Lonchura striata: one gene and its partners. The protein of the gene in region 3 interacts with the protein of the main gene of each other region in a pairwise test. Links are inferred from orthologs where the notes say so. Each region holds a gene or a part of one and is shown on either strand. Other genes may lie near its edges.

The links.
Region 1: the proteins of KIFC3 (region 3) and SOX5 interact in binary tests that used the Homo sapiens proteins (3 or more experiments, as listed by UniProt). The two-hybrid records come from large-scale screens. The link is inferred for Lonchura striata from reciprocal best matches to the Homo sapiens genes KIFC3 and SOX5.
Region 2: the proteins of KIFC3 (region 3) and CBY2 interact in binary tests that used the Homo sapiens proteins (3 or more experiments, as listed by UniProt). The two-hybrid records come from large-scale screens. The link is inferred for Lonchura striata from reciprocal best matches to the Homo sapiens genes KIFC3 and CBY2.

Annotation. Positions count from the first base shown.
Region 1 is NC_134607.1:14,598,024-14,601,769, reverse strand, and holds the start of SOX5 (transcription factor SOX-5), read left to right. Parts: upstream 1-1,150; 5' UTR 1,151-1,294; coding exon 1,295-1,332; intron 1,333-3,746.
Region 2 is NC_134604.1:61,121,307-61,125,052, reverse strand, and holds the start of CBY2 (protein chibby homolog 2), read right to left. Parts: upstream 2,664-3,746; coding exon 2,503-2,663; intron 2,429-2,502; coding exon 2,312-2,428; intron 1-2,311.
Region 3 is NC_134615.1:17,417,062-17,420,807, forward strand, and holds the start of KIFC3 (kinesin-like protein KIFC3), read right to left. Parts: upstream 2,495-3,746; 5' UTR 2,445-2,494; intron 1,719-2,444; 5' UTR 1,689-1,718; coding exon 1,604-1,688; intron 1-1,603. UniProt on the Homo sapiens protein: Minus-end microtubule-dependent motor protein. Involved in apically targeted transport. Required for zonula adherens maintenance.

The DNA of each region.
Region 1 (3,746 bases), on a different chromosome or scaffold from region 3:
GCTGTGCCCGGGCGAGGCGGGGGCTGTCCCCGCGTGTCCGAGGCCCGTTACCTGCCTGCCTTCCTCGCCTGGCAGATTGTTATCTGGATAATTGGAAGTGCGGCGGAGGTTGAGCTCCGCCAGCCAGCCCAGGGGCTCTGCAGCCGCGCCTCGTCCACCTTGTTATCAGGGATTGTCTGGGCAGGGGAAATGAGAGGGAGTCACGACCGAGGGACTTCTACTGCTCGCCCGGAGAGTAGCGGGGGGAAAAGGGGGGGTGTGATTAAACAGAAAACGAGAAAAGCCCTAACAGATGAACAGAAAGTTTATTTTTGTTGTTGTTTGAACATCCGTGTGTGCGCGCCCGCTGTTTTGGCATGTGGCTACCTTTTCCCTTGCACACAACAGGGCTATTTGATGGAGTTTGGAGCTGAGGAAACTTTGGGTTTGTTGCCGGGACGGTTCGCAGCACTTTGTGGAAAGCAAGAGCTAACAGTGAGACCGACAGAGTGAGTGACAAGTTGTTTACAGGTTTCCTTGAAGGGGCCTCTGCTATATTTCAATCTGTCAAAGTTGCTTTTCTTCCTTCAGAACAATGCCTGATTGTTGTGCGGGTGATTTTTTTTTTTTTCCCCTACCCAAAGAGAGAGAGAAAGAGGGTAAGCGAGAGACCGGGAAGGGTGGGGGAAAAGGAATGAAAATTCTTTGGAGCACAAATGCCTTTGGTAACATTTTTATGTGTTTAATCTCTTCTCCTCTATTTCAACTCCGAGAGTTGATAACTGTCTCAATTTAATCAGTCTGCTCTTGTTTTATCTTCTTTCTCCACTGATCTTCCTCAGCGTAGGGGATTTGCTCCTGGTTTGCCGGTTTAGGTGGATTGTCGGACTGCTTTTTCTTTTTCCCCTCCTCTCCCCCGCCCCCCCCCGTCCCCCCCCCCCCCCCCCCCCTTATCCCCTCCACCCCTCCACGTTTTTTGTTTTTTTTAGGACATTGAAGGAGTTGACTTTTCCCGTTTGGCGGCGGCGGGCGAGCAGAATTAAAAGAAAAGGACAGGCCCCCGGAGGTCGCGCAGCGCGGCGGGGGGAGCTGCGCGCTCATCGTGCTGCGAGCGCGCTGCCCCTTTAAGAGACTGGTCAAGGAGTCCTCGCTCAGAGCGAGCGAGCCGGGAGGGAGGGAGAGGGAGGGAGGGAGAGAGAGAGAGCGAGCGAGAGAGAAAATCAATCGGTTTAGAAGGTTTGGACTCACTTGACAGGTTCAGTTGGAGGCGACCATAGGTGGCTGCTGTGACAAAGGGAAATTGTGCTTTTCCAGCATGCTAACTGACCCTGATTTACCTCAGGAGTTTGAAAGGTGAGTCGAGTTGTTGGGGCGGGGGTGTATGTATGTGTGTGGGGGTGTCTCTTCCCCGTGTTTTCTTTCCCGTTCTGTTTCGTGCTTTGTTATTGCATTATTATTTCCATTTTTTTTTTTTTTTTTAATTTATCCGAGCACGCCCGTTGGCGCACGTGTGCGCGGATGGGCAGCGGGCACACGGACACGCGGGGACGGGCGCGCAACTCGGGCGCTCGGCGGCAGGAGGCCGGGCAGAGAGGCGCTCCCCCCGCGCCCATCCGCGTCCCTCCGCGCTCCCTCGCCGCCCCGGCGCCGTGTCACTGACCGGGGTGGCGGGCGCCGCCGAGCCCCCGGCCCCGGGCGGAGCGCCCGCGGCGCGCAGCTTTGTTCCGGGGCCGCAGAGGCTGCCGTGCCCTCCTGCCGCACACCCTCCGCTAGCCCAGCCGGGCGGCCGAGCCACCTTCCTGGGCACAACCTCCCCTCTCCTGCCCGGGGACTTCCCGCAGAGCGGTCGGAGGATGCCCGGTGGCGGCCAGGCTCCCGGGCATCTTCTAACTTCCAGCCTCAGGCTCCCGTCAAACTTGGGAAGGCGCTCTGCCGAGCACATGACCTTTTGTTGATCTAGCAGGAGCTATTATTTTTAGGCAAGTTAACATCCCAGCCCTCCGTCAGGAGAACATCTTTCTGCGTGAGGAGAGAGAGGTGGGAAAAATAACCCAAAGGGAAAAAGAAAGGGAAAAAGTGAAACTCTTGCCTCCAAGTTTTGGCCGTCGCCTCTCTCGCGGAGTGTCAAGAGCCGGGTCTGGGTATGACGAGCGGGCTTCGGGTATGACGTAGATGTGCCCGTCTCCCCCTGCCCGAAGCAGCAGCCTTCCCTGCTTGGAATCAAGTTTTTGCTGTCATTGCTGGTGGCTTGTGACCTCCGAGAGTTCAGTCCTTATTTCATATGATCTGCTTCTCCTGAGATGTTTGGAAGCGTTTTCTCAGGTGCTTGTACGTCCGTGCGTTCATGGTCCTGCATCCCTCCCCTCCGGCTTCTCTTTTAAAGGTTAATAGCCCCATGTGCGGCTGCAGTAAACAGTCCAAACTTTCATTTCTAAGCAGTAAACGAAAGAATGCCAGGATGCGTGTTACTGAGGTTTTTCTTGTCTTCGTGAGGTTTTTCTTGTCTTCTCCTGTATAAACATTTGGTTGTATCTGACTATGCAATACAAGCTAGGTGCTAGACCAGCTGGTTAAAAATATGCTAAGTCAAGCTGTTCATCGTTCAAACCTACTGAATTTGATAGTAAAGGCATAGAAAAGAAGGCAAGATAAAAACATTTAAGTGGGCTGAGGAACATACATGCAAAGGAAGGACAGGAAAGAACACTTGAATTAAAAGATCGGAGAAAATTAAAATTTGGAAATGCAGAAAAGAACTATTTTAACACTTGCAATCCTTGTTCTGAAACTAGAATGCTTCCTTACTAGAAAGTGAAATTGGCTAGGTTGCTCTACTCCAAGGTCATCTTTAATGCAATTAATTTTTCAGACTTGGAATACTTGGCATTTTCCTTCGGTTTCTTAGCATTACAATAATAGGACAAAATTGGTTTTGTTCACGTGTACTGTATTAACTTAGTTCAACTACCTGAGGAAACTGTTACTGTTTCTGATGTCAAATTTGATCTGGCATCATGCTCATGCATTTGTTGTTTTCATGCAATCGATAGATTCAAGTATTTCATGTGCCTCACTAAGTTTACACATAGAAATTTATAAGCGAGTGATTTTGATTATTCTCTGAACTTTGTGATGAACACAGTGCTTGTAAACTCTCTGAAGCAGAAAGAAGCCCTTTCATTTTCCTGCTGGGGACTTTTTTCTTAGCTGAAGTCTCTCTGCATTATAAATATAGATATTTGTATAAATTTTATATATAAACAAGTCATTTGGGGCAACCATCATCCTTAGAATGAGCTTCTCTACTCCCTTCTTTTTTCTTTTTTTTTTTTTTGCCCCTAGGCATAGGTTTCATTTTCAGAGATCCAGCTTTGCTCTTGTAAACATTCTAGTTAAATAATCAATACACTGCTCTCCTTTTGCCATGCAGATAACAGCAAGCAGTAGAAATGGGAAGCAATAAAAAACGAACCTCAGGACGTGCAATTTTTTTGAAATTTTTTTTTGAACAATTTTTTTTCTGCAGTTGAAATTGGGGATAGAGACCAGTATCTTTGTTAATCATTACCATTTGTTTACCTTGCGTGTGTTTGACTATAGTCACACACACACACACACATTCGGAGACCCAGGCAGTGTCCATGTAACGTGTGTGTGTTTGTCAGGGAACAGCCACGAGGACATACTTCCTTCTGCACAGACAGGGATCCTCAGACCCACAAATGCCTGTGGAGCTGGCGTGTGTGCGTGTGTGCACGATGCACAGA
Region 2 (3,746 bases), on a different chromosome or scaffold from region 3:
TCTCACAGTTAACCATGTTGCCCCTTTGATGCTGAAAGGTAAGGAATCCATCAGATACCTAGCTGATAGAAGCTGAGAAAAATGGCATTGGTAGATAAAGCAGCACAATGGCAGTACTAAAGTCTTTCTTATTAAAGCATGCACTTCCCCTTTATCTCTCTACCTCATTTTTACAGACCTGTAAGGGAGCAAAATGCAAGACTATTTTCTGCCTCAGAATAGCCTGCTCCCAAATGACTGATGCACAAACACATTAAAAATTGTTATGAGGCTCAAAAAACCTTTTTAAAATAAAGCATTTTTAAAGGTTCATAGAAAAAATCTGGCCTTGAGAGTTTTTTATTGCTAATGCTGAGTAGCCTGTGCTAACAGGATGCCACAAAAATGCAGTGACAGTTTTGCTTTTTGATCTTAAATTCCACAATATGCACAAACCAAAGCTTTGGGACATCAGAGATTTGTTGTTCTTCGCTTGGTTTTTTACAAGCTCCCTTCACCATGGTCCAAAAACTGTCACAACCCATAGATAATTCTCCACCTTTCATTCTCATTTTTCCTGTCACTCTTACTCTTTATATTCTTTGATAGTTCTGTTATTTTTCTTGCTTTCTAGCCCTGCAATGGTGATTGCTTATCTTTTTCCTACAGTCCATCTGCCTCTTTTTCACATCATCAGAAAACTCATCTCTAAAATCCATATTGTAGGGCCAAACCTCTAATGCTTCTCATTTCAGACACAGAAACCTCAGACTTAACTGTTGAATACTTTCCCCTCCTTTCCTCTACCCAAAATATTGCAGTTTAAACTATCTTTTAACCATGAGTGAACTGGGGCAAATTAAGGATTTCAGTCTTTTATGTGGGGGGAAAAAAAAAACAACAACCAACCAGACAATCAAAAATTATTGTTTTGTGCTAAAGAAAAGCTTGTTTTCTGCATCTAAATTAAAAAAAAAATATTAAATTTATGTGATTTTCATGATGAAGTTATTTGATCTGAGGTTGAACTATTTTTTATAACCAAATTGCTGGAACTTTCAGGGTTTCTGCACAGAGTTTCTAATAGCACAAATGTTCCTTTTTCTAGGTGAAAAAAAAAATAAAGCTACTTGTCAGATTTCACTCAGGTGTATTCCTCTCCTCCTGCTGAGGTCCTGCAGATTCCCTGCTGTCCCTTGGAAAGCCCAGTTCTGCCTTTCTGTCTGTGATGAAAGTTTTACCTTCGTGAATCTTGCCCTCATGTTTCTACCCCAAGCATTAAGCAGAGGGTGACCACCACACATGAGCCCCTTATAGCCTCCAGCTCTGTCATCCCAGTGTGCACCTCCTGTCCTATTGTTGCCCTTTCCTGTTGCTCTCCCTTTTCCCTGTCATTTCATCAAACAGCACTGCATGTCCAGGCTCCTCCAAGATACTTGTTAGAGCAAACATCCAGAGATGCATCCTGTACCCCCTTCCCAAATTTGTCCAACCACTCATAAAATTACTGTGTCATTTAAAATCCAAAATTCCTTCATTTAGGAGAGGGTTATTGCAATATAGGTCTCTGTGCATTTACGTTTGATTTTATTGCAATCTGTTTACTGTCTGAATTTCAGGGCTGTCTTCCATATCATCTGCTGCTTTATCTCATGTCAGACTTGTGTTTTCATAACATCATTCTTCTGCTAAAAAGGTATTTCCCAAAAACTCTGTTTTGGACTTTTGTTTCCCACTTACACTATGTCCAGAGCCATGCATTGCTCCCTCCCTTACACCCTTCCCCTGCAGCCTTTCCAACACATCCCATTCCACTGAGGTGCCCAGTCCCATTTTTTCCCCCAAAAGCCCTAAAAAATTTGGGCCTGGTGAGGGGTGAAGGGGCAGAGGGCAAGTCAGCCACAGAGGGAACAGACCTCTAATTAACCAGGGAAGATGCAGAACACATCCAGCATCAGAAGCCTGGACCCACATGCCTATCATGGACAAACAGCTACAGTTCTTAAAGTCACTTACAGAGAAAGTGTTTAGATTGCACATTTTCAGGATAAACAGAAATGTATAATATATACGACATTATCTGGGGGACAATTAAATTGACAGTGGCTCTGTCAGCTCTTTTGCACTGCCAGGGAGACATCGACCCAAGCTTTAGGGACCCTTCAAGATCTCAGTGCCTCCCATATATATTTTTTCCCCCCATCTCTGAATAATCCCAGGAAATGCTGGGCAGCTGGGCGGATGAGCAAGGCAGCCAGCTGCGGGGCAGCCCCGCCACGCCAAGGCAGGCTGGGCATTTGGGAGCGGGGCACTAGGAGCCGCACACGCTCACCTGTGGGCGCGGCGCTCCCTCTCCGCGGGGCCGAGCGCCGCAGCCGCGCTGAGCTCCCGCTGCTGCCGGCGTGTCCAGCGCCTCCCCGGCCGGGCACCGGGCACTGATGGGAGCCACCTGCCCCAGGAGCCTCCAGGGGATGGGAGCTCCTGCACGCCCTCCTTGCACAGCTCACTTCACGCTGTTCTCACAAGACTGGCTTGGGCTTCTCCCAGCGTTGCTCTTCTGGGCTGCTTCTCATGGAAATGACCTTTCTGCTAGCTCGGCTCCCATGCCCTTTCCTGAACCCAGACTTCCCGATCTCCCTTTGATGCTCGTAACTGAGAATAGTTTGGACGGATTCTTTCTCCATCACACCCTCTTAAAACAAATTTTGCTTTTATTCTGAAACTTCAAATTCTGTTTGTTGCTGAACTGATATAGATACATTCAAAAATCTCGTCCTTGCATGTGCTGTGGGATTTGAAGTTATTTTCCAAGGACAACATGAAGTTTTTCTTTGACTATAAGTTTAAGAGCAGATTATAGCTGAATCCAAGTAAGAAGAAAATAGAATATAGAAGACATTCGCACATGCAGGTTTAGATATTATTTGTAGCAGCCATTTCCACTTCCACATCTTTACATTTCTAATGAAGTCTTTCTTATTTGCTACATCTTCCAGAAATGGATTTTTTTTTTTTTTTTTTTTTTTTTTTTTTTTTTTTTTTTTTGTAATCAGGATTCTTGAATAATAAATACAGCATTTAAATTCTCTTTCAGTGAAAATTACTAAGTTGACATCACCCTCAAGGAGACTGCTGCTGCTTTAGGAACTTGAAGGTATAGTTCAGCTTTGGTGTTATATGAAAATTATAAACTCAGGTATAAAATTCTTCTCTGTAATTGCTCCCTTGCTTATATGTAATCTTAGACAACAAAACCACATCACAGGTTACTATGGCAACTCCCCAGGGAGTATCCTTCTTTATTTGAGCTCCAGGATCCCGCACAGGAAAACAGAAAATGTCCTCAGAAGAGAAAATATTTTATATGGGCTATTTGTGCTTGGCCTGCCATCATATGGGAATTTAAGAGTTCTACCCAGTGCAGACACTTTTCAGGAGGAGATTGGATGAAATATCCAATTTGAATTTCTGAAGAACTGTGGCTGTGGACTGTGAAAGTGACCTTTGATGAACATTTTAAGGTCCAAGAGCTGACTAGAAACATAATTAATAGAAAGAAGTGCAGCTGCTTAATCCAGAACCATGGAGAACTAACTTGATATTGAGCGTACCTTTGCTTTTCTCATGCAGTATTTTCCTTAAAGTTTTGTAAAGTTCCTCTGCCAAGTTAATTTTTTACTGAAAATTATGAATTCAAATGCCAATACATTTGGATCAAATTTAGTGAATATCATCAGATGTGTTTATGCACACATCAGAATTGGAAA
Region 3 (3,746 bases):
GGAGCCCAGCACAGACACAGCCTTCGGCCAGCTCAGCAAACCCACCTCCTCCTCCTCCCTGCTGCCGCCACCACACCGGTGTGGCAGACACAATGCATGACTTTTATTAAAAATGTTAATTATGTTAATTAGAAAAATTAGCCCTCTGGGGGGTGGAGACTGGTTACCAATGACTAGTAATGAGAATTCAGGGTGTAGCTTCCGACTGGCCTCTGCAGGACCAGATCTGTCCCCCACCAGGGATATCCCAGCTCTACCCCTTGCCAAGCTGCTCCACTTCCTGCGATCCCATCTCGGAAAAGCTGCCAAAGCCAGCTTGCATCACCAAAACCAGACAGTCAGACCCTGACGGTGTCACCTCCCTCCACTGACCCCAAATATTTCCTTCATTTGTCAGGCAGCCAAACCCAAAAGCAGCCAGGGCAGCACTTCCCTGTCCTGCTGAGCCACACAGAAGGAAACAGCAACTCAAGGAGCTTTCTCCCATGGTTGTGTCCTGCTCTGCTACAGGAAAAGCAGCTGGCAAGGGCTACATCCCACTGCTTGGGGACCCTGTGCCCCCCGCACCTATCTGCCACAAGTGCTGCCACCACTGCGGGTGGCCAAATCTCTTCTCCAGCTAACAGAGAGAAAATCAATTGCTCACAAATCAAACCTCAAAAATGCAGCCTTTTTCCTCTAAAGCCACCTGGAGGAAGTTGGGCTGGAGGTGGAACTGATGTCTGGAGGGAGAAGTGCCCTTATGAAGTTAGTCCATCACTCTGGACTTCTTCCCAGCCTCTAATTATCCATAACATTTTGCACACGCCATGAAAATTGAGCATTTCCAAAGTGCCAGCAAATGCCCGGATAACAGGTGATGAGCTTCCCATCCCTGTATGGGCAGCAGCAGCCGTTGGGCAGAGAAAGAGCTGAAAACCCTGACTTTGGAGGCTTTGGTGCCAGCTGGCATTTGGCTGGACTGGCCCAAGTGCCAGAGAAGAAGCTGCGTCCAGAGAAGTGGCTGCCAGCACAGGGGGATGGCAAATGCTGAAGCCAAAAGCAAAAGAAGTTCAAATACTGGGGTTTCAGCCTCCACCTTTGCCAAAACCCATTCAGCACCATCGGTGAGGGAGGTGGGAAGGGCTGTTTCCCAACAAGCGGTTGCAGGTTGGGACAAGCAGCTGCCCGCCTGCCTGCAAGGCAGCTCAGCCTCCACAGAGCAAAACTCGACTATACTCACCCATGGGGTCCATGCGCCAGAGAGGGATAAGGAGCCCTTCCAAGGAGCTGAGGCTGGGAAGAGGCAAAGGGCCCACATTCAACCTGCCATGCAGATCACTATTTTCTACCTCACATGTTAAATTTTAACCTTTCTCCCTAAGTTTCCCGCTCGGAAGGGCCAGGAGAGAGAGGGAGGCAGCCCTCTCTTCTCACCAGCACGCTGCCCAGAGCTTTGTGCCTGCTTCTGAGTCCCCGTTTCTCAAATCTTGACCTTCATCCGGAAAGAAATGTGAAAAATGCAGGCTGGCCTGTTCTCAGCCTCTCCTTCCCCAGTGAGCAGGGTGTGAGTGCAGCAGGCTGAGCCCCAAGGGGCAAGGACAAGGCACCGTGCTGTACTCACCGTCCGGGGCAAGGTCCTTGGTCTTCCAGGCGGCTCCGGCGGAGGGCCCGGATCCCAGATGCCAGGCGGTGCGGGACGTGATCATGGCACGGGGGTCCCGAGAACAGCGGCACCTCTGCGGAGAAGCGCAAGGACGGACATCTCAGCCGGTCTCAGTGCCCAGCTGTAAATCCCAGTGGGACGTTCTGGAGCAAAACACGACGGTAACACCGGCTCCGACTCCCGAAACCCGCAGGAAGTTGCATCAATCCCGTTTTTTGCTCCCGAAAAGGCGACAGCCCCGGGCTCCCTCCGTGCTCCCAGCGGATGTGACATAAACGGTGTCTGTAATTAATTTACTCATTCCTGAAGCCTCTCCAGGCCCCTCCTAACCTCGGGCTGGGGCTGCCTTTAGGGAGTTAGGAACTCCGGGACCACGGGCAGCCCTGCGCACCGCACCCACCGCATCCCAGCGCACACAATGCCCTGCACTGCACCGCTCCGCTCGGCACCGCCCGCTCCGCTCCGCGCACACCGCTCCGCGCTCGCCGCACCTCACCGGGGCCGCTTCGGCGGGGAACGGGACACGGAGCCGCCCAGCACACCGCGGGGTTCCTTTGCTCCCGACCCGCAGCGGGGCGGTCCCGGCGCCGGTGCCAGCGAGCAGCAGGCGCAGCCCCGCTCCCGCTCCCGCTCCCGGTGGCGCCGCCCGCCGCGGGCTAACGGGGAGCCGCGCTCTCGCCGCGCCGCGGGCGCTCCGTGCCAGCGCTCCCAGCCCGCAGACAAAGGGAGGGAGCCCCGGTCCTGCCCGGTGCAGCCCGGCTCCCCGGTGCCGCCGGTGCCGCCCCGCGGGGCCACTCACCGGGCGCGGGGCGGCGGCAGCAGCGGGACACACGGCACCAGCCCCGGCCCGTCCCCGCCTGCCCGGCACTTCGGTAACGGAAGCGCCGAGCCCCGCCCCGCACTCGTTGCCACGGAAACTCGTGAAACCCCCGACGGGCGGCGGAGGCGGGGCTCCCCTTCCCGCATCGGGCAGCGGCGGCGGCTGCGGGGGCGCGGGGCTCCGGAGGGCTCCCGGTGCTTCCCCGGGGCACCCCGGCCCCTCTGGCCGGAACCCTGGAAGCACAGGGGAGCCCCGGTGTTCCCCGTGCCCTTCCCAGGGCGGCCCGCCCCCACCGTGCTCCCCTGACCCTCCCTTGCTATAGTGCTGGGGGCTCCCGGTGTGTCCCCGGTACTCCCCGTGTGTCTCTGCCATTCCCACCCCATACCCGGTGCTCCTCAGGGAGTCCCAGTGTAACTGCATCCCACCTGTGCACCCCTCCTGGCATCACTCATCACGGTGACCCTGGGGGACCATGGGGACAGTGGTGCTGATTACCTACACACCGAGGACCCGCCTACCCAAACTATGCCCTCACACTCTGCCGCATCCCCACCGCTCCCAAGCATCCACTGGCAGCAATGCCAGCTGGCACCCCAGGCTCATCTGTCCCAGGGACACAGATATCACATGAAAAACAACCTTTTCCTAACCCAGAGGCATTGGAGAAAACAGCCTTACATGCCAAGACCTCTACAAAAGCCCTGGTGTCAGAAAGGCAACAGAAATGCCTGCATTTTTAGGGTGTGATTTGTATCTGCCTCCCTGTATTGCACACACAGCCCTCACAGTAATGGCTGGTTTGGGTGACACAAGTCACTCATGACTTGTTCACAGTTATGAACTGGCAGTACCGGATATTTCCCATGACAAAGCTGCACTTGGCATCCTTGGTGGTGGCAGCGGGTGCCCCGTGCTGATGGCTCACATCCACATGCCGATGGCAGGCTGACCTGTGTCCCACCAGGGTTTGGGGATGCAGGAGTGGCTGTCCCTTGGGAAAGGAGGGTTTGATGCCAGCCCTGTGCTGTGCTCCCCGCAGACCACCTGCCCTCCCTCAGTCCCAGCCTTTTCTCACTCCTGACCAGGTTTGGAGCAGGATTTAGCCTTGTCCTTTCATCCTGGACTGTCCCTCTTGGACATTGTCTCAGAGACCCCCCATGAGACACTGCTCCACTCCCTGCCACGAGCCAGCCACATGGTGAGGGGTGATAGGGAGCCACTGACATGGGGAGGACAAGCTGCTCTAGCCACTCACCCCAGAGAAAGGGGGCTGTGAAGGAT